Macaca mulatta: one gene and its partners. The protein of the gene in region 1 purifies or fractionates together with the protein of each later gene. This does not show direct contact. Links are inferred from orthologs where the notes say so. Each region holds a gene or a part of one and is shown on either strand. Other genes may lie near its edges.

Region 1 (4,349 bases):
CAAGTCCAGCTGCTGGTCTGCCTCTACCCCTGGACAGGGACTGGAGGAGGAGGATGTGGGCCCATCCCGGGAGGGCTGCCGGACCCAGTGGGGCAGACTGGAATGCCTTTTCCTGCTGTTCCCACCACCTGATGCCCTATCGCTCGAAAAACCACTTTAGTCTAGTGTACGACTTTGAAAGATTGTAATATATGCTCTGGAAAACATTCAGCAGTATGAAAGTCCTCCCTGGGCCCTCCCATGGTCCACAATTGGTAGAAAGGTCCAGAAATCCTTGAGCTCTGGAAAGGTCCCTGGTCAGTCGGAGCTCTGGCAGCTATATTGGAAGGACCTGCTCAAGTACGGTTCTTGATGTCTGGGGAATCCTTTCGGGGAAGATCACTTCAAATTCAATAATGAGGTCCCCACGTTTCTCGGGCGTTTTGGGGAGGGGGAGGCCTTCTCCAGGAACTTTTCGGCGCATGCCAGGCCTGATGACATCTTTGAATACGACGGGTATGGTCCTGCCGTCCAGAGTGGGGACGTTCACTGTGCAGCCACACAGAGCCTTGAAAAGCAAAGGGATAAGCATTAGATGGAAGCTGGCTCAAGAGGCTCAGCTCTTGCCCGGAGACCATCTGGCATAGAGTAAGACTCATCAGGCCTCTGCAGCCAACACCTGGCCCCCAAATCGACATGTCTCCACCATGAAAGCTCCAGAACAGCACCCTGATCACTCCTGTTCACTGTGGTGCCCCAAGCCTGGCAAGCGCCACACACCCAATGCGTGTTCAGCAAAACCTAAATAAACTGCTTCAAAGAGCAGCCATCGCGCTCTGCAGACACCGCCCCACCTGGCACCTTACCTCCCGGAGGCTGATCCTGGCAGGATAAATCACATCAGAGCCATCTCTCTTAAAGATATTGTGTGGCTTGTCCTTTAAAACAAAGACGATATCAGCTGGAATGTTGTTGGAGGTCTGGTCTCCTTCCTTGGGGAAGGTGATTTTGGTCCCTTCTTTCCACCCCTTCTTCACTTCGATGGTCAAGATTTTGTCTTCGTTTCGAATGCTCTTTCCGTCGGGGTTTAGCCGCTTGTGGGAGATTTTCATCTTCTTGGTACAACCGCTGTAGATCTCTTCAAGGGAGACTCGAAGGTCGTGGGTGACTGGGGGATCTTGCTTCTTTCGGGTGGGCTCTTGGGAAGGGCGGGAGCGGCCAAAGTTCACGTTGGTGAAGCCACCCATGCCCATAGGGAAGCCAGAGAACGGGTCATCAATGTCCATGCCTTCCTCCCCGTTCCGCTGCCCAAAAAAGGTGTCAAAGGGATTTCTGCCACCGAAGAACTCAGCAAACATGGCATGAGGGTCTCCATGGAACGTGTAGCTGAAAGAGGTACCATTGGCACCACTGCCGCTACCGCCACTGGGGCCACTGCCCTTTAGGCCTGAAAAGCAGAATTAGAAGCAGTCAGATGGCTGAACAGCAGACTCCCTCTCGAGCTTCCCTTACGGGGGAAAAAAGCTTGGAAGCCATGGGGGAGGAACTTTTTTTAGCCTGCCAGGGGAGAGCAAGGAAGAACCCCAAGCTTCTACCCCTCACTGCAGCAGCAGAGCTGCCCCCCCCCCCACCAAGTACTTCCGCATAGCCTGACAGTGGAAAAGGACTCATGCGGTTAGGTGTCCACCTACAGGTGCCACCTGGGCCCTGCCACTCCTGGACTGACCCATCCTCCTGGCAATGTCACCAAGGGATGGCTAAACACACACGGTCCAGGGTCGGCTTTCGGTATTTACTTTCAACATTTTAGGACTACTGATGTGTACGAAGAGTGAAAATAAGGAAAAAAAAAGATGTAGAGTTTTTAAACCCTCACACTAGCATTCACTGCTACCATCCTTGCATAATAAGTCAGTCCCAGATCAAGCCCAGAAGCCAGCCTGAGTCATCAAGGGGCACAGGGACAAAAAGCCCCACTCTCCGTCCCCCCAAACCCCCAGGCGGCCCAGCTCTCCGCACCTAGGCGGCCGCTGCCTCCTGCGTGCCCGGCCGGGACCAGGTCATCACTTCCCGGAAATCATCCCAGCCCAGCCCCAAGGCCCGCGAGCGGGGTCGGCGCCTGCATTTACAGCCCCGCGCCCCGCAGCTGAGCCGCAGGCGCCGCCCTGCGGACCCCGGCGGCTAAGCCCAGGTGAGCTCGGGTCCGCAGCAGGCTCCGCCGTGCCGTCCCCGTCGTCACCCCCGGCTCCCCCACCCCCCTGCACCGCACCCCGGGGCTGCTCGGGGCCGCGGGAAGAGGCGCCCGGGGAGGGGCAGCCTTAGACATGCTAGAAGCTTCTGGGCGAGCGGCTGGGCCAAGGCTCCTCCCCCCACCGCACGGCCGCCAATCCAAGGGCGGAGGCCCGAGCGGCCGGAGGGCGGGGCAGCTCGGCCCCCGGGCCCGGGGCGTCCTTCCCGGGGGGCCGCCGAGAGGGGCCGGTATGCCTCGGTTTCCCTGTCAAACGGCGGGACCGCGCCCCTGGCCGCGCGCACACACCTTCCTCTCCGTAGCGGTCGAAGATCTCGCGCTTGCGCGGGTCGCTGAGCACGTCGTAGGCCTCGGCGATCTCCTTGAACTTCTCCTCGGCGCCGGGCTCCTTGTTCTTGTCCGGGTGGTAGCGCAGCGCCTGGCGGCGGTAGGCCCGCTTGATCTCCTCATCCGACGCGCCGCGGGCCAGGCCCAGCGTCTGGTAGTAGTCTTTGCCCATGGCCCCCCGCTGCGGCCCGCCGACCCGCTGTCGCCGTCCCCCGGCTCCGCCGCCGCCCGGTCCCGGACTCTATATACCCGTCCGGCGGAAGCTTCCAGAGCCCGCCAGCCCCCTCCAGAACCTTCCGCCCCGCCCCCCCGCCCGCGGCGCCGGCCAATCGCCGCCACCCTTTCCGTGACACGCGACATCCGGGGCGGGGCTTTGCCGTCAACGGCCGCCGGCGCGGGGCCACGCCCCCTCCCGCTCCGCCCTCGACAACGCCTCCCGGCGGCGCGCGCACAGGTCGGAGGAGGCCCCGCCCACCTTCCGGGACGAGCCAATCGCGAGCTTCTTTCACACTCTGCACCGCCCCAGCGACCCTGCGTCCCGCCCTCCGCCTGGGTCAGTGGGTCAGGAGCCGTCGCGAAGGTGATGTTCCGGGAAGGGGTGGGGCCTGGGACTAGCCTGTCTTTTCCCCAGGAGGTGATAAACCTTCCAGCCCTTGTCTCGCGGGACCTGCGGTGGGCCTCCGCCGGGTGACGCCGGACGAACAACCTAACCCGCGTCTGCTTAACCCAGGGGTCTCTTTCTTTCTACAATATGGCAATAAGAGAACCTGACACGGAGCCTCACGACTGTAATTTCCATCACTTCCTGAGGCCAAGACAGGAGAATCTCTAGGGCCTAGGAGTTGGAGACCAGCCTAGGCAACATAAGCAGACTCCGTTTCTTTTTAAAATAAACAAACAGGCCGGGCGCGGTGGCTCACGCCTGTAATCCCAGCATTTTGGGAGGCCGAAGTGGGCGGATCACTTGAGGTCAGGAGTTCGAGACCAGCCTAGCCAACATGGTGAAATCCCGTCTCTGCTAAAAATACAAAAATTACCCGGGCGTGGTGGCACGCACCTGTAATCCCAGCTACTCAGGAGGCTGAGGCCTGAGAATAGCTTGAATCGGGGAGGCGGAGGTTGCAGTGGGCCGAGATCGGGGCACTGCACTCCAGCCTGGGCGACAGAGCGAGACTCCGTCTCAAAATAAAATACATAAATAAATAAATAAGTAAAATAAAACAAAATGAACAAACAAGGAATCCACCAGCGCTATTTTCCCAACTGTGGGGAGAAGGATGTTGGGACAGAAGACTGCCTCTGTTCTCCCTTCCTAAAGCGAGGTGAGGATCTGGGCGAAAGCTCACCTCCCGAGGTCCTCCCAGTCCCGCCTTCTTCACTTTACTGCCCTCTCAAGAGCACTTGCTGCTAAATTAGAAATTTATTTTGTGGCCGGGCGCGGTGGCTCAAGCCTGTAATCCTAGCACTTTGGGAGGCCGAGACGGGCGGATCACAAGGTCAGCAGATCGAGACCATCCTGGCTAACATGGTGAAACCCCGTCTCTACTAAAAATATAAAAAAACTAGCCGGGCGAGGTGGCGGGCGCCTGTAGTCCCAGCTACTCGGGAGGCTGAGGCAGGAGAATGGCGCAAACCCGGGAGGCGGAGCTTGCAGTGAGCTGAGATCCGGCCACTGCACTCCAGCCTGGGCGACACAGCGAGACTCCGTCTCAAAAAAAAAAAAAAAAAGAAATTTATTTTGTTTCTTGGCTTTCAATGTGTCCTCCCTCCCAGTCTGAGATCGCCACCTGAGCAG
Region 2 (4,024 bases), on another chromosome or scaffold:
TCTACTAAAAAATACAAAAAACTAGCCGGGCGTGGTGGCGGGTGCCTGTAGTCCCAGCTACTTGTGAGGCTGAGGCAGGAGAATGGCGTGAACCCGGGAGGCGGAGCTTGCAGTGAGCTGAGATCCGGCCACTGCACTCCAGCCTGGGCCACAGAGCGAGACTCGGTCTCAAAAAAAAAAAAAAAAAAAAAAAAAAAAAAAAAAAAAAAAAAAATTAAAAGTTGAGGACTTCTTAATGCCAATTATTTCACTCAGAATATTTATTTATTTATTTATTTATTTATTTATTTATTTAGACAAGGTCTCGTTCTGTTGCCCAGGCTGGAGTGCAGTGGCGAGATCTCGGCTCACTCAACAGGAATAATTTTAATAGCAAAAATTAAAAACTCCTTCATTAAGTCGGGCGTGGTGGTTCACACCTGTAATCCTTAGAATGATAAAAATGAAGTAAATTCACTTTGTTTCCTACATCTACCTAGATAGGGAAAGATGGAGTAGCTTTTTCTTTTTTACTTAATAGCTTCAGCGTTGTCCGAGCATTCGTTACTCTCATCTTAGTATAAAGTGGTAACAGGAAGGTCAGGTGAGTGTGGGCTGCCTAGGAGCTGCACTTAACTGCCTTCTGTTTCACAAAAGGACCTTTTCTCCCTATATCACAGGACCCTTAATGTCGTTGTTCTTGCTTTGAATTATGGGTGCTGGAAGAAACTAAACGAAGCCATCACTGAGCAATACACCCACAACCCATCGACCGATAGGAACCTTCGTGTGGGGGAAGTTGGTTACTTTTAGGCTGCACGAAGAGGCGGGGCCACGCGGGGCGGAGCTGGGGGTGGTCTGTGGGTCCGGGCGGGCTTCGGGTAGTTCCTGGGTCCGAGGAGCAGACGATCCGCTGGCCACATTAGGCGCTCAGTCTCTGCGTCTGCCCCTCCCCGTGCCTCAGAGACTTGCGCTCCCCAGGCCCGAGCCCCTGTGGCCCGCGAACCTCTTAATTCCAGCCGCTGCAGCCCCCTCCCAGGCCCGGCGTCCCCGAGCCCCGCGGGCGCCGCGCCTGCCCTTCTTTGGCCACGCGGCAGCCGCGGTGTCGGCGAGTCCTCCCGGGTTGCCCCCGCGGGCGTCAGAGGGAGGGCGGGCGCCCGCGTGGTGACGGCGACGCCTGCAGCCCGAGGAGCGCTCCACTCGCCGCCGCCGGAGGGGCCGGTGACCTCTCGGCTGCCCCGCGTCGGAGGCTTAGATGGCTCAGGCGAAGATCAACGCTAAAGCCAACGAGGGGCGCTTCTGCCGCTCCTCCTCCATGGCCGACCGCTCCAGCCGCCTGCTGGAGAGCCTGGACCAGCTGGAGCTCAGGTGAGCCGCGGGCGGGCGGGCGGTCTCGGGCGTTCTGCTCGCCGCGCGGGCGGTTAGCGGACGGAGGCCGCGTGTGGCGGGCCGGGCCCTGGGGCACAGTGAGGCTGCGGCAACAGAAGTTGCTTGTTGAGATTTGTTGTGGATGGACGTGGTGTAGTTTTGTTTATTTCTTGGATTTTCTCCCCTTGTCCAAGAGAAAACGCATTGTAAGCTAAACCTGTGAGGGCGTGATGGTGGCCACACTTTGATTAACTTACCTAGGTGTTGGGGAGCAGGAAAAAGAGGAGATAAAAGTTAAGAGGTGAGATTCCATGCGATTAACGACTGTGGCAGCGTGGGTCTGCAGAGCTTCTAGAACCTTCTGTGTGGCCCCAAATGTTTTTAACTTACTCTTCTCCCGTCATACATTTTTAAGGGAGGCAGCAGTTTACAGTGGCCCTCCACGTGAAGTTAAGTTTCCTTGCTTCAGAACACTAAAAGAGCAAAAATGAATAAAACAAAACCAACCCAGCAATCCATTGAGACCAAAGATTAGAGAGGAGTGAGGGGTAGGCAGTAAGTTACCGGGTGCTTCGTGCAGTAAAGACGTTGCGGCTTCTCTTTATCCCCTGACCTGGCGGACGGGATTCCGCGGTTCCGTTTGTCTCTCAGTATTTATTGGGCACCTCCCTACATAGAAGACGAAGTGTTAGTCACTGGCCTGAAAGTATGAAAAGATAGTTTTCCCTTTTTCTTGCTTAAGATTTTATTAGGTAATATAGTAGTAGACTTGTACAGAATTTCTAAACAATATAATGTTAATAGATTTTTGGAAAGACTTTAACGGTATATTGAAAAGTTTTATCTACTTCCTGTGAACGTTTGTCACAAGTTACTGTGTAAATTTTGTGAGCAACTGTAGTTAAAAGAAAACCTTGTTAGGCACCTGGAATTCCCTGAAACTGTACACAGGAGTTGGTTCCATAGTTTTCTCTAGGTTGTGCATGAGCAAAGAAGCATGTGAGCCAAAAAGTTCAGGAAACACTGCATGTGTGTTTTATCTCCCTCCATTAATACACCCAAATATGAAGTGTCCGTTTGCCGAGAAAATACTTCAAAACCACGGCATCTCTTTTAACAAGTAAGGCATTATTATTGTTACTATTGGGAGAAAAGAGCCAGAGAGTGAGAGATTCTCCGCTCAAAATAATTTCTTGGATGGCAGCAGAGAAACCTAAGCCCTACACGAGGTTCTGGGGTTCCACTCAGAATGAGGCAAGTGGAAGAGAGAAATAATGCTTCCTCATGGATTTTCACAATACTAGCAAACCTGACCCGTTCCACTCCCAGAAAAAGTAAAGCGCAAGTAGAAATTGGTGGCCTCAGTTACTGGAAGTCCCTCTAACTGATGTTTCTTTTTAGGGAGCCGCATAACAAGTAACACACCTCTCTCCATGTCTTCAGAACGTTGAGGGCATGTTCTCAACCACTTCACTCGCTCTCCCCTAGTTAGAAAGAAAAGATTTTTTCCTAAAGGAATGGGGAGGATGTTACTCCACCCCGCCTTCCTTCAAGCTGAGTCATTGTCCTCAAACTTGAATTAATGCCTCACATGTGGTAGGTACAAAAGCCCTCTGAAGTGCTCCTCTTAAAAAGAAAGCCTCAGGTTTTGAATATTATTATATTCTAATGTTTGATTAATGTAAAATGAATTCTGATTACTGCACATCAGTGATTAAATTACAACTTGCTTAATTAACATTTGAGCTGAGGAGAAAAGTGATTAATATGTGGCTGTTCATTTCAAGGACTTTTTTTTAGTAATTCTAGACTTTTGTAGGCCTTTTTTTTCTTTTTAAAAAAGTAATACTAGCTGAAAAGGATTTCCTAAGGTAAGCAAAAATAGAGAAAAATGCTAACATTGATCCTATTAAAGTGTTTTTTTGAAACCACATGGGCAATGGCATAGAACACTACACTATTAAAAACTAGAATCATGCGTACAAGATCGATTTTTAAATGAAAACATGAAACTCATATGTAATTTTGCTCTAATAGTTTGATTTTATGTTAACTAATAAAGTAGTGTAACTGGGTAGAATAAAACCTTACCGTTTGTACTTAGAAGTGTGCACGTAATGTTCCCTAACCACATCATCCTGTCAATTGTGGAAGAAATTTCATACTTCATGACCTGGAGTATGAACTGATCTACATGATTAAAATGTTTGGCAGCAGTTCTACAAACTGTTAAAGGATTTCCATTTATCTCTGATGGAATTTATCAGTACACTAGGCTCTTTTTTTAGACTGCATTTTGTCTTCTGTATTTCTTCCTTCTACAGAGGTGATTCCCTTTTCTCCCTGTTTTTATGATCAATTCTAAATGGAGTCTGAGTTTTGCATTCCTCAGTGGCTCAAACCATCTTGCTTATTGTTACTTTTTAACAATTATTGTAATTTATAAAAAATACTATATTACAACTTTATATATATATATATATATATATATATATATATATATATATAATGTTTTCATCCACAGTTCCTGGCTCATAACTCCCATAACCCTTATGACAGTCTTACGTTATAATGTTGGGGTGCTTTAGGCCTCAGGAAAAAGAATCTCTGTCTGACCTTCTTTCGCCTGCCTTGTTTCTAGTCTGATTGTGGGTCAAAAGACCCTCATTCCAGAGAG
Region 3 (4,026 bases), on another chromosome or scaffold:
ATTAGCCTGTTTGGTATTTGCATGCTTTGCTTGAATATTTTATCTCCAGCCCATTCCACACCGTTAGCCAACATTTTCATCTGACAGATGGAATCAAGGCCTAGGCCTCCTTTAAACAAAACATCCCTCCCAAAAGTATGACTTATAAAAATTGCTTGCCACTCTTTCTTGCTACAGACATTCTTTGCGGATCTTTGGCCAGTAACATGCATATACCCACACATAGTTTGCAAATAAGAACAACTATTGAACGTGAAGTGCTACAAAAGTACGATGATAAAGTATAAAGTGTTCACCGCTTGAATAAAAGCTCTAATAATTTTAACAAAGCCAAAACACAAACACACACACACACACACACACCACGAAAAAAAAATGCACGCTAAGCCAAGAGCTCTTTAAATATAAAAAATCATCATTCTCGGGAACAAATAAGATAGCTACAAACTTGCCAGGTGACTCTTATGCTTAAAGGTTCTGGCTGTCAACAGTCTCCGGCGTGGCGGCGGCACCCTCAGTCCCATCCGACCGAGAGCCCTGACGCGGAAGCCTTGGGGCTGCGGGACTGTTCGGGATCGGACGCGAGCGCACCTGCAGAAAGGCCTGAGGCGGCTGTGCATGGCAGGCAGCTGCCCCGAGGCCCCGGTTTGTCTTTCCTTCCGGTCACCCCTCCCGGCCCAATATCCCCAGGCGCTTGCTTACGCCGCTGGGCGCCGTATCCCTGCGCTCGGCGCCGCGCTCCGGAGCGAGTTGACAGCCGCGGCAGACGAAGGAGCGGCTGAGAGCGCGGAGAAAACTCTTCTTCCCCGCCCGCAAGGCCACCATGGCCCCACGCCCCCACGCCCCCTGGCTCCCGCGGCGCACGGCAGCATTGCGACGGCGCGAGAGACCGCTTTACGGCAGGGTCGCGAAGCCCGAGGGAGGGCGGCGGTGCGGCCGACCGTGCGCTTTCCCCGCGGTACGACGGGCTACGGGAGCGGCGGGCGGCGCGCCGCTGACCCGGGCGGCCGCTCCTTGGTCGCTGTCACTCCAGGTTGCCTTGCTGCGCCGCTGGCGGTGGGCTTGGCGCTGTCGGCGGCTAGGCGCGGACGCCGGAGGAGGTGTCCCCGGGTTTAGGGGTGTTCGGCCAGGGGCGTGGGCTGGCTGGCCCGGGCGACGGCCGGAGCTGCGGAAGTCGTGGAAGCGTCGGCGACGCATCGCGCGATGGCGCGGGCAGGACAGGTGAGCGAAGCGCGGCGTGTGGCCTTTTCCCTCCGTCGGGGGGACGAGTGGGGCCCCCCGTCGGCGCGGGGCTCCCCGCTGGACCACCTCTCTGCCAGCGCCCACCCCAGCGCGGCCTGTCGGCTCAGGCCGAGCAGAGTTGGTCTCGGCGCCGTCCCCGTCCCTGGCTCGGACGCTGTCCAGGGGTGGTCGGGCCTGGTCTCTGGTGTCTCCGGCGGGGCCTTGGCTCCTCTCCTTCCCCGGCTTCCCCCGGCCGGGCCGAGGGCCCCTCGCGCGCCCATTGTGAGGTCAGGGCCTGCGGGCGCGCCCTGGCACCTAGGCCGAGACGCCCGGAGCGGCTGCTGCAGCCAGTAGCAGCCCCTTCACCGCCGGCCCCTTCACCGGCTGCCCCGCTCAGACCTAGTCGGGAGGGGCGCGAGGGATGCAGCTGGGGGCCCAGCTCCGGTGCCGCACCCCGTAAAGGGCTGATCTTCCACCTCGCCACCTCAGCCACGGGACGCCAAGATCGCAGCCAGCTCAGACCTCTTCTGGGTAAAGAGCCAAGAGGGAAGGGCGAGGCGGGGAGGAAGGAACTCGGGCCGCCTGCCCTCCGTGGCCTCCAGAACATCCACAGGGGATGGATGATGCGTTTCCATTGGTTACCCACCTTGAGCGAGCCGTTTGATAGAAACCAAGAGCTTGAAACGTGCATTAGGCGATTGTGGACTCTCAGTGGGAGGCGAGTGAATGAATTATTCAGTTACCACATTTTCGCAGGTTGTAGTTTTTTGAGACAGTGGAGCATGTTGGGGGCTGAGGAGGTGCTGGGCCTCGAAAGCCCAAGGTGGTGCCCTTCAGCGCAATCCCCGTCGCTCTTCTTTACCTGTGGGGTTTTTATCTCTTCGGGGAGACATCTGGGAGGGAAGATGTGTGAGGAGCTAAAAGGGTGGGGAGGGGAAGTGCACAAAGGGAAGAAGCGGGAACTTGGGGATATCTGAGAGCCACTGGTTTTTGTTCTACTGGTTCAGTTTATTTTGCTTAGAGTTTCTGGAAACTAGGCATAGCTGTGTGGCGGGGCGGGGTACTGTTAGTGTTCGGAAGGTTACAAGAGCTACTGTTTCACCTTGCATAAAGGTGCCCTGCCGGTTCCAAATAGTTTGTGCGGCGTACGGTGACTCACACCTTAATCCCAGCACTTTGAGAGGCGGGGGCGGGCGGATCGTCTGAGACTAGCCTGGGCAATATAGTGAGACTTGTCTCTACTAAAAATAATAACATTAGCTGGGCGTGGTGGTGTACGCCTGTAGTCCCAGCTACTGGGGAGGCTGAGGTGGGATGACTGCTCGAAAGTATGCCTTTTTAAAATGAGAATTTTAGAATGACTTAGTATACCATTAGTGTTCTGCAGAAGCCTTGTGCTGTAATAAGTTATTCTTGTCATCTTTTAGTGCTTGTGAAACTGAACACAACAAAAGTATGGATATGGGAAACCAACATCCTTCTATTAGTAGGCTTCAGGAAATCCAAAAGGAAGTAAAAAGTGTAGAACAGCAAGTTGTCGGCTTCAGTGGTCTGTCAGATGACAAGAATTACAAGAAACTGGAGAGGATTCTAACAAAACAACTTTTTGAAATAGACTCTGTAGATACTGAAGGAAAAGGAGATATTCAGCAAGCTAGGAAGAGGGCAGCACAGGAGACAGAACGTCTTCTCAAAGAGTTGGAGCAGAATGCAAACCACCCACACCGGATTGAAATACAGAACATTTTTGAGGAAGCCCAGTCCCTCGTTAGAGAGAAAATTGTGCCATTTTATAATGGAGGCAACTGCGTAACTGACGAGTTTGAAGAAGGCATCCAGGATATCATTCTGAGGCTGACACATGTTAAAACTGGAGGAAAAATCTCCTTGCGGAAAGCAAGGTATCACACTTTAACCAAAATCTGTGCGGTGCAAGAGATTATCGAAGACTGCATGAAAAAGCAGCCTTCCCTGCCGCTTTCCGAGGATGCACATCCTTCCGTGGCCAAAATCAACTTTGTGATGTGTGAGGTGAACAAGGCCCGAGGGGTCCTGATTGCACTTCTGATGGGCGTGAACAACAGTGAGACCTGCAGGCACTTATCCTGTGTGCTCTCAGGGCTGATCGCTGACCTAGATGCTCTAGATGTGTGCGGCCGGACAGAAATCAGAAATTATCGGAGGGAGGTAGTAGAAGATATCAACAAATTATTGAAGTATCTGGATTTGGAAGAGGAAGCAGACACGACTAAAGCATTTGACCTGAGACAGAATCATTCTATTTTAAAAATAGAAAAGGTCCTCACGAGAATGAGAGAAATAAAAAATGAACTTCTCCAAGCACAAAACCCTCCTGAATTGTACCTGAGCTCCAAAACAGAATTGCAGGGTTTAATTGGACAGTTGGATGAGGTAAGTCTTGAAAAAAACCCCTGCATCCGGGAAGCCAGGAGAAGAGCAGTGATCGAGGTGCAAACTCTGATCACGTATATTGACTTGAAGGAGGCCCTTGAGAAAAGAAAGCTGTTTGCTTGTGAGGAGCACCCATCCCATAAAGCCGTCTGGAACGTCCTTGGAAACTTGTCCGAGATCCAAGGAGAAGTTCTTTCATTTGATGGAAATCGAACCGATAAGAACTACATCCGGCTGGAAGAGCTGCTCACCAAGCAGCTGCTAGCCCTGGATGCTGTTGATCCGCAGGGAGAAGAGAAGTGTAAGGCTGCCAGGAAACAGGCTGTGAAGCTTGCCCAGAATATTCTCAGCTATCTCGACCTGAAATCCGATGAATGGGAGTACTAAAATACC
Region 4 (4,251 bases), on another chromosome or scaffold:
CCTGACAGCACCATCTCAGCCCCTGTCTGAGCATCCACCCTGCCCTGCTGGGATTATTTGTCTGCAAACTTCTGGGAGTCCTGCCTCAACCCCCACCCCTCATGCCAACATCCCAGGACCTGGAGCTCCAGGAGGTGGGTTGGCCTCGTTCACAGTGTATCCCCTGGCACCAGCCCTTTGTGGATAAAGGCTCTGCCCATGTGGGGGTTCAGGAAAGGCCTCCTGGAGAGGGTGGTGCCTGTGTGGCCACTTGGATCCGCCAGGTGAGGAACAGTGGGAAGAAGCCCAGCCAAAAGCAGAGGTGCCCTGGACACAAGCCATGGGTGGCTGGGTGTCCAGGTCAGCTAAGGGCTCCTAACGGATGCTCAGAAGCCTGGCCCAGCATGGGATGGAGAAGCTGAACAGGACTGGGCCTTCTTTTACTCACTGTGGCCCTGGGCACTCGGCCAGCAACCCTCCTTCACCTCGACTCGGTGTACTTGTTTATGATGAGCTTGTCCTTATGTATGATGGCATGGCACTGGATGCCTCCGGCCCCTTTCACCTCCCCATAGCCTGGGTCCCAAGCCATCACTGGCCCAGGGGGCCTGGGAGAAAATCCAGGGGGTCTGTGTGGGAAGGGGCTGGCAGGATCCAAGGTGGCAGGAGAGACAGCTGCCGACAGTGTGCTGGTGCAAAGTGTGCACCACCCACATTTCTTGGCCGCGGTGGCTGAAGCAGCCTTGTGGTGGCTTTCTATCCCTCTCTACGTCATTTGCTTTAGAGCCTTGACACTCTGGCCGTCCTGCGTGTGTGCTGACTGTAGTCCGTCTATACAGCCAACAAGCAGGGCTGCAGGGTGGGGTCCAGTCTGTCCCATCTGCTGCTGTGGGGTGGCCTTGCCCAGGCCCAGAGCAGGGCCCAGAGGCTGCAGCTGCACAGTAAATGTTGAATCAATGAGAGGATTTCATGACTGAAGAGCTTAGAAAACGTCAAAGGCTTCAGAAGAAAATAACATCGGTAACATGCAGCCTTAGATTAGATGATGAAAACAAAACCGCACTCAGATCTTCAAGCCTTATTTTCCTTGTGTCATTAAAAATGACGCCCCCCCTTTGCGACTGTCCCCTCCCCTTCCCGTCGATCTCAGGCCCCTGGGCCCGGCCAGCTCTCCGTGACCTGGGCCTCCACCCCTCGTGCTTCCCCGCGGCTCCACCGCCTGTCGTCGGCGGGGCCTCAGTGACCGCACGCTGCGGACCAGCCCCGCCACCCGCTTCGCTAGCCCTCCCGTCCCGAAAACCAAGATCCGGACCTCGCACGCCCGACCGGGACCCCTCCGCGCTCCTCCGGCCCCGCCCCAGTTTCTCTCAGCCAATGGACAGTGAGGGGCGGCCTGGCCGCTTCGGGCCAATAAGCAGCGAGAGGCGGGGTCCCCGCGCCCTGCGAACCAGTAGAGTGCGGACAAAAAGCCGGCCGGAGCGGGGCGACAAGATGGCGGCTGCGGGGTCGGCTACGCGGCGCGTGGGCTTCGTGGGCGCGGGCCGCATGGCGGGGGCCATCGCGCAGGGCCTCATCAGAGCAGGTGGGGCGGCGCGGGGCTGGGCCTGCGGCCTGGCGTGGGAGTAGCCCCGTGGGAGGTGCCCTGTCGCGAGAGTGGGGCCGGAGGCGCGAGCCCAGCCACTCGGGTCTCAGCTTCGCTGGGTGCAGCCGGAGTCACGCCTTTTTCCTCTTACTTTTTTGACGTGGCTGCGGGAAGATTTGAGTTACACGTGGCTAGGTGCTGCTTCCGTGGCCGGCTTCCTGGCCGCGTGGCCTTGGCCAGGCTCACCTCTTCCAGCCTCTGATGTTCTCTTTGCGCGCCAGCCCCTCTCCGAGCAGCAGGGCTTCTCTTCCAGACACCTTAGCTCTAGGGACACCTGGGCCAGATCATCCATCCTGTGCCAGTAGCACTCCCCACGTTGTGACAGCCAAAAAATGCCTCCAGACACTGCCGAATGTCCCCTGGGTGGCGGGAGGAGACAGGTAAAGTCATCCCCTGTTGAGAATCACTGCTTTATGGCCGGGATATTTATGCTGACCATATACTTCTCCAGGCATTTAGAAGCCTCTCTGCAGATTGTGGGTAGGGAGAGCTGGGTGACTCTTGGCGCTCTGCCTTCAGCCGTACTTCAGGGTCCAGAAGAATCAAGATCCATCAGGAAATAGCTTACTGTGAGTTTTACCTGTGAAACCCGGCAGTACCACATGCCTCCCAGAGCTGTACTGGTTAAATGAGACAATATGTCTAATGTTGAGCCTAGTACTGGTGTGTATGGGTGGCACTGTCATGATTAATTGCTGTGTTTAGGTTGTAGTGTACACTTCTGTCTTCCTGTTCGACCTTACCAAAATCTAACCCAATCTCTCCACCCCTGTACCCCACAAAAGCAGATGATTTCTACCAAGTAGGCATTTAGCCTCTTGGACATCCCAGCCAGACTCTCCCTCCCGAGGAACCTGGGCCCCCATTGGGCCTTCTGTGGCCAATCAGCTGCCTTTGTACCCACCACACTCCCCCAAGGCCTGGTGTTCCTCTTCTGCTCCAGGCAGCCTTCCCTTCCCTGGAGACAGACGCCCCAGGGATGTGTCCTCACCACCGAGGCCAGCTCCTGGCCTCCACACCCAGCAGCAGTCAGGGGCGTTGACTGCCAAGTAGAATCAATGGATATGATTGCCTGGGCCCAGTGAATGGTGCATCCTGCTTTGGGTTCCTGAGGCCAGGAGGGGGCCCATGATGGGCCCGGCGTGGCTGAGCCTGAGAGGCCAGGTGAGCTCCTCCCTCTCCTCACTGCCATCCTATCCCACCCCCCTCACCAACCCCTCTTCCTTTTCTTTTCTTTCCAGGGAAAGTGGAAGCTCAGCACATAGTGGCCAGTGCACCAACAGACAGGAACTTATGTCACTTTCAAGTGAGCATAGAGCCTAGGTTCTTCATACCCTCCAGAGCCCAGGATAGCGCTTGACTCCTATCCCACTAAGACACCTATTGGAGCCAGAGATGGGTGGTTTATTTAGCTGAAGTTTGGAGACTGGCTGTTCTGGGCTGGGGAAAGGGAGATGAGAGGCCAGGAGGAAAGTAAGGTTGTGGAGGGCCAAAGCAAAGTGTTTGTGTGTGTGTGTGTGTGTGTGTATGTGTGTGAGTGCATGCATGTGCACGTGTGTATATGCGAGTGCATGCTCACATGTGCGTTTGCACGTGTGGTGTGTGTATGTCACTGCGTGTGTGTACGTGTGTGTGAGTGCATGCTCATGAGTACATGCATGTGCACCTGTGTGGTCGTGAGTGCATTCGTGTGCACGTATGTGCTCGTGTGTGTGCGTGCACATGTGTAAGAGTGCGTGCATGTACACGAGTGCATGCTCATGAGTGGGTGTGTGTACACATGTGTGCTTGTGAGTACATGCGTGTGTGTGTATGTGTGTGCTTATGAGTGCATGCATGTGCACGTGTGTGTGTGTGTGCTCGTGAGTACATGTGTCTGCACGTGTGTATATGTGAATGCATGCTCGTGAGTGCATGCATGTGCATGTGTGTGTTTGCATGCTGGGGTGGTGGTCACAGACATTCACTGCGGATGGAGGGCTCAGGGCTTGGGGAGGCGCTGACATCAGGATGGCCTGTGAGGAGCAGGGTTAGTCTGGGTGAGTCTTGGGCATTGGAGAAGTTGGGGTGGTCTAGACACTTGCAATGGGAGAGACCCTGGGACCCATGGGAATGTGTGGCCTCCAGCAGGAAGGGCTGTGGTGGAGAGGGTGTGCCGCTCACACAGCCCCTGAGGCCTGGTCCTGGTATCCCTGGCACAGGCTCTGGGTTGCCAGACCACCCATTCCAACCAGGAGGTGCTGCAGAGCTGCCTGCTCGTCATCTTTGCCACCAAGCCCCACATCCTGCCAGCTGTCGTGGCAGAGGTGGCTCCTGTGGTCACTGCTGAACACATCTTGGTGTCCGTGGCTGCTGGGGTGTCTCTGAGCACCCTGGAGGAGGTGAGTGTCCCTTGGGCTAAGGCCTTGATCCCAGCATAGGCTCTGCTGGCCGGGCTTGCGTGGCAGGCAGCCCCCCAGAGAGCCTGAGGTGGCCGGGTGGCCCACCTGGGTCAAGTGTTTGGGCTTAGGGTTCCCTCCTGGTGCTGTACCTGGGAGGCAGATGCTGGAGGCCTCCCAGCAGGGCCCAGTCCTACAGACTCCCTGATTCTGACCTCTCTCTGGCCAGCTGCTGCCCCCAAACACACGGGT

What was found.
Region 2: the proteins of DNAJB1 (region 1) and BAG2 purify together in Homo sapiens (affinity purification with mass spectrometry; 4 studies listed by BioGRID and IntAct, with this or other methods). This does not show direct contact. The link is inferred for Macaca mulatta from reciprocal best matches to the Homo sapiens genes DNAJB1 and BAG2.
Region 3: the proteins of DNAJB1 (region 1) and BAG5 purify together in Homo sapiens (affinity purification with mass spectrometry; 3 studies listed by BioGRID and IntAct, with this or other methods). This does not show direct contact. The link is inferred for Macaca mulatta from reciprocal best matches to the Homo sapiens genes DNAJB1 and BAG5.
Region 4: the proteins of DNAJB1 (region 1) and PYCR3 purify together in Homo sapiens (affinity purification with mass spectrometry; 3 studies listed by BioGRID and IntAct, with this or other methods). This does not show direct contact. The link is inferred for Macaca mulatta from reciprocal best matches to the Homo sapiens genes DNAJB1 and PYCR3.

The regions. Positions count from the first base shown.
Region 1 is NC_133424.1:15,127,957-15,132,305, forward strand, and holds the start of DNAJB1 (dnaJ homolog subfamily B member 1), read right to left. Parts: upstream 2,813-4,349; 5' UTR 2,727-2,812; coding exon 2,516-2,726; intron 2,370-2,515; exon of another isoform or gene 1,999-2,369; intron 1,427-1,998; coding exon 846-1,426; intron 548-845; coding exon 317-547; 3' UTR 1-316. UniProt on the Homo sapiens protein: Interacts with HSP70 and can stimulate its ATPase activity. Stimulates the association between HSC70 and HIP. Negatively regulates heat shock-induced HSF1 transcriptional activity during the attenuation and recovery phase period of the heat shock response.
Region 2 is NC_133409.1:125,116,957-125,120,980, reverse strand, and holds the start of BAG2 (BAG family molecular chaperone regulator 2), read left to right. Parts: upstream 1-1,200; 5' UTR 1,201-1,234; coding exon 1,235-1,347; intron 1,348-4,024. UniProt on the Homo sapiens protein: Co-chaperone for HSP70 and HSC70 chaperone proteins. Acts as a nucleotide-exchange factor (NEF) promoting the release of ADP from the HSP70 and HSC70 proteins thereby triggering client/substrate protein release.
Region 3 is NC_133412.1:176,980,511-176,984,536, reverse strand, and holds the start of BAG5 (BAG family molecular chaperone regulator 5), read left to right. Parts: upstream 1-1,193; 5' UTR 1,194-1,841; coding exon 1,842-1,939; intron 1,940-2,648; coding exon 2,649-4,020; 3' UTR 4,021-4,026. Other genes in the region: COA8 (cytochrome c oxidase assembly factor 8), read right to left, coding at 703-825. UniProt on the Homo sapiens protein: Co-chaperone for HSP/HSP70 proteins. It functions as a nucleotide-exchange factor promoting the release of ADP from HSP70, thereby activating HSP70-mediated protein refolding.
Region 4 is NC_133413.1:153,979,069-153,983,319, reverse strand, and holds the start of PYCR3 (pyrroline-5-carboxylate reductase 3), read left to right. Parts: upstream 1-1,428; 5' UTR 1,429-1,470; coding exon 1,471-1,561; intron 1,562-2,862; coding exon 2,863-2,927; intron 2,928-3,822; coding exon 3,823-4,002; intron 4,003-4,228; coding exon 4,229-4,251.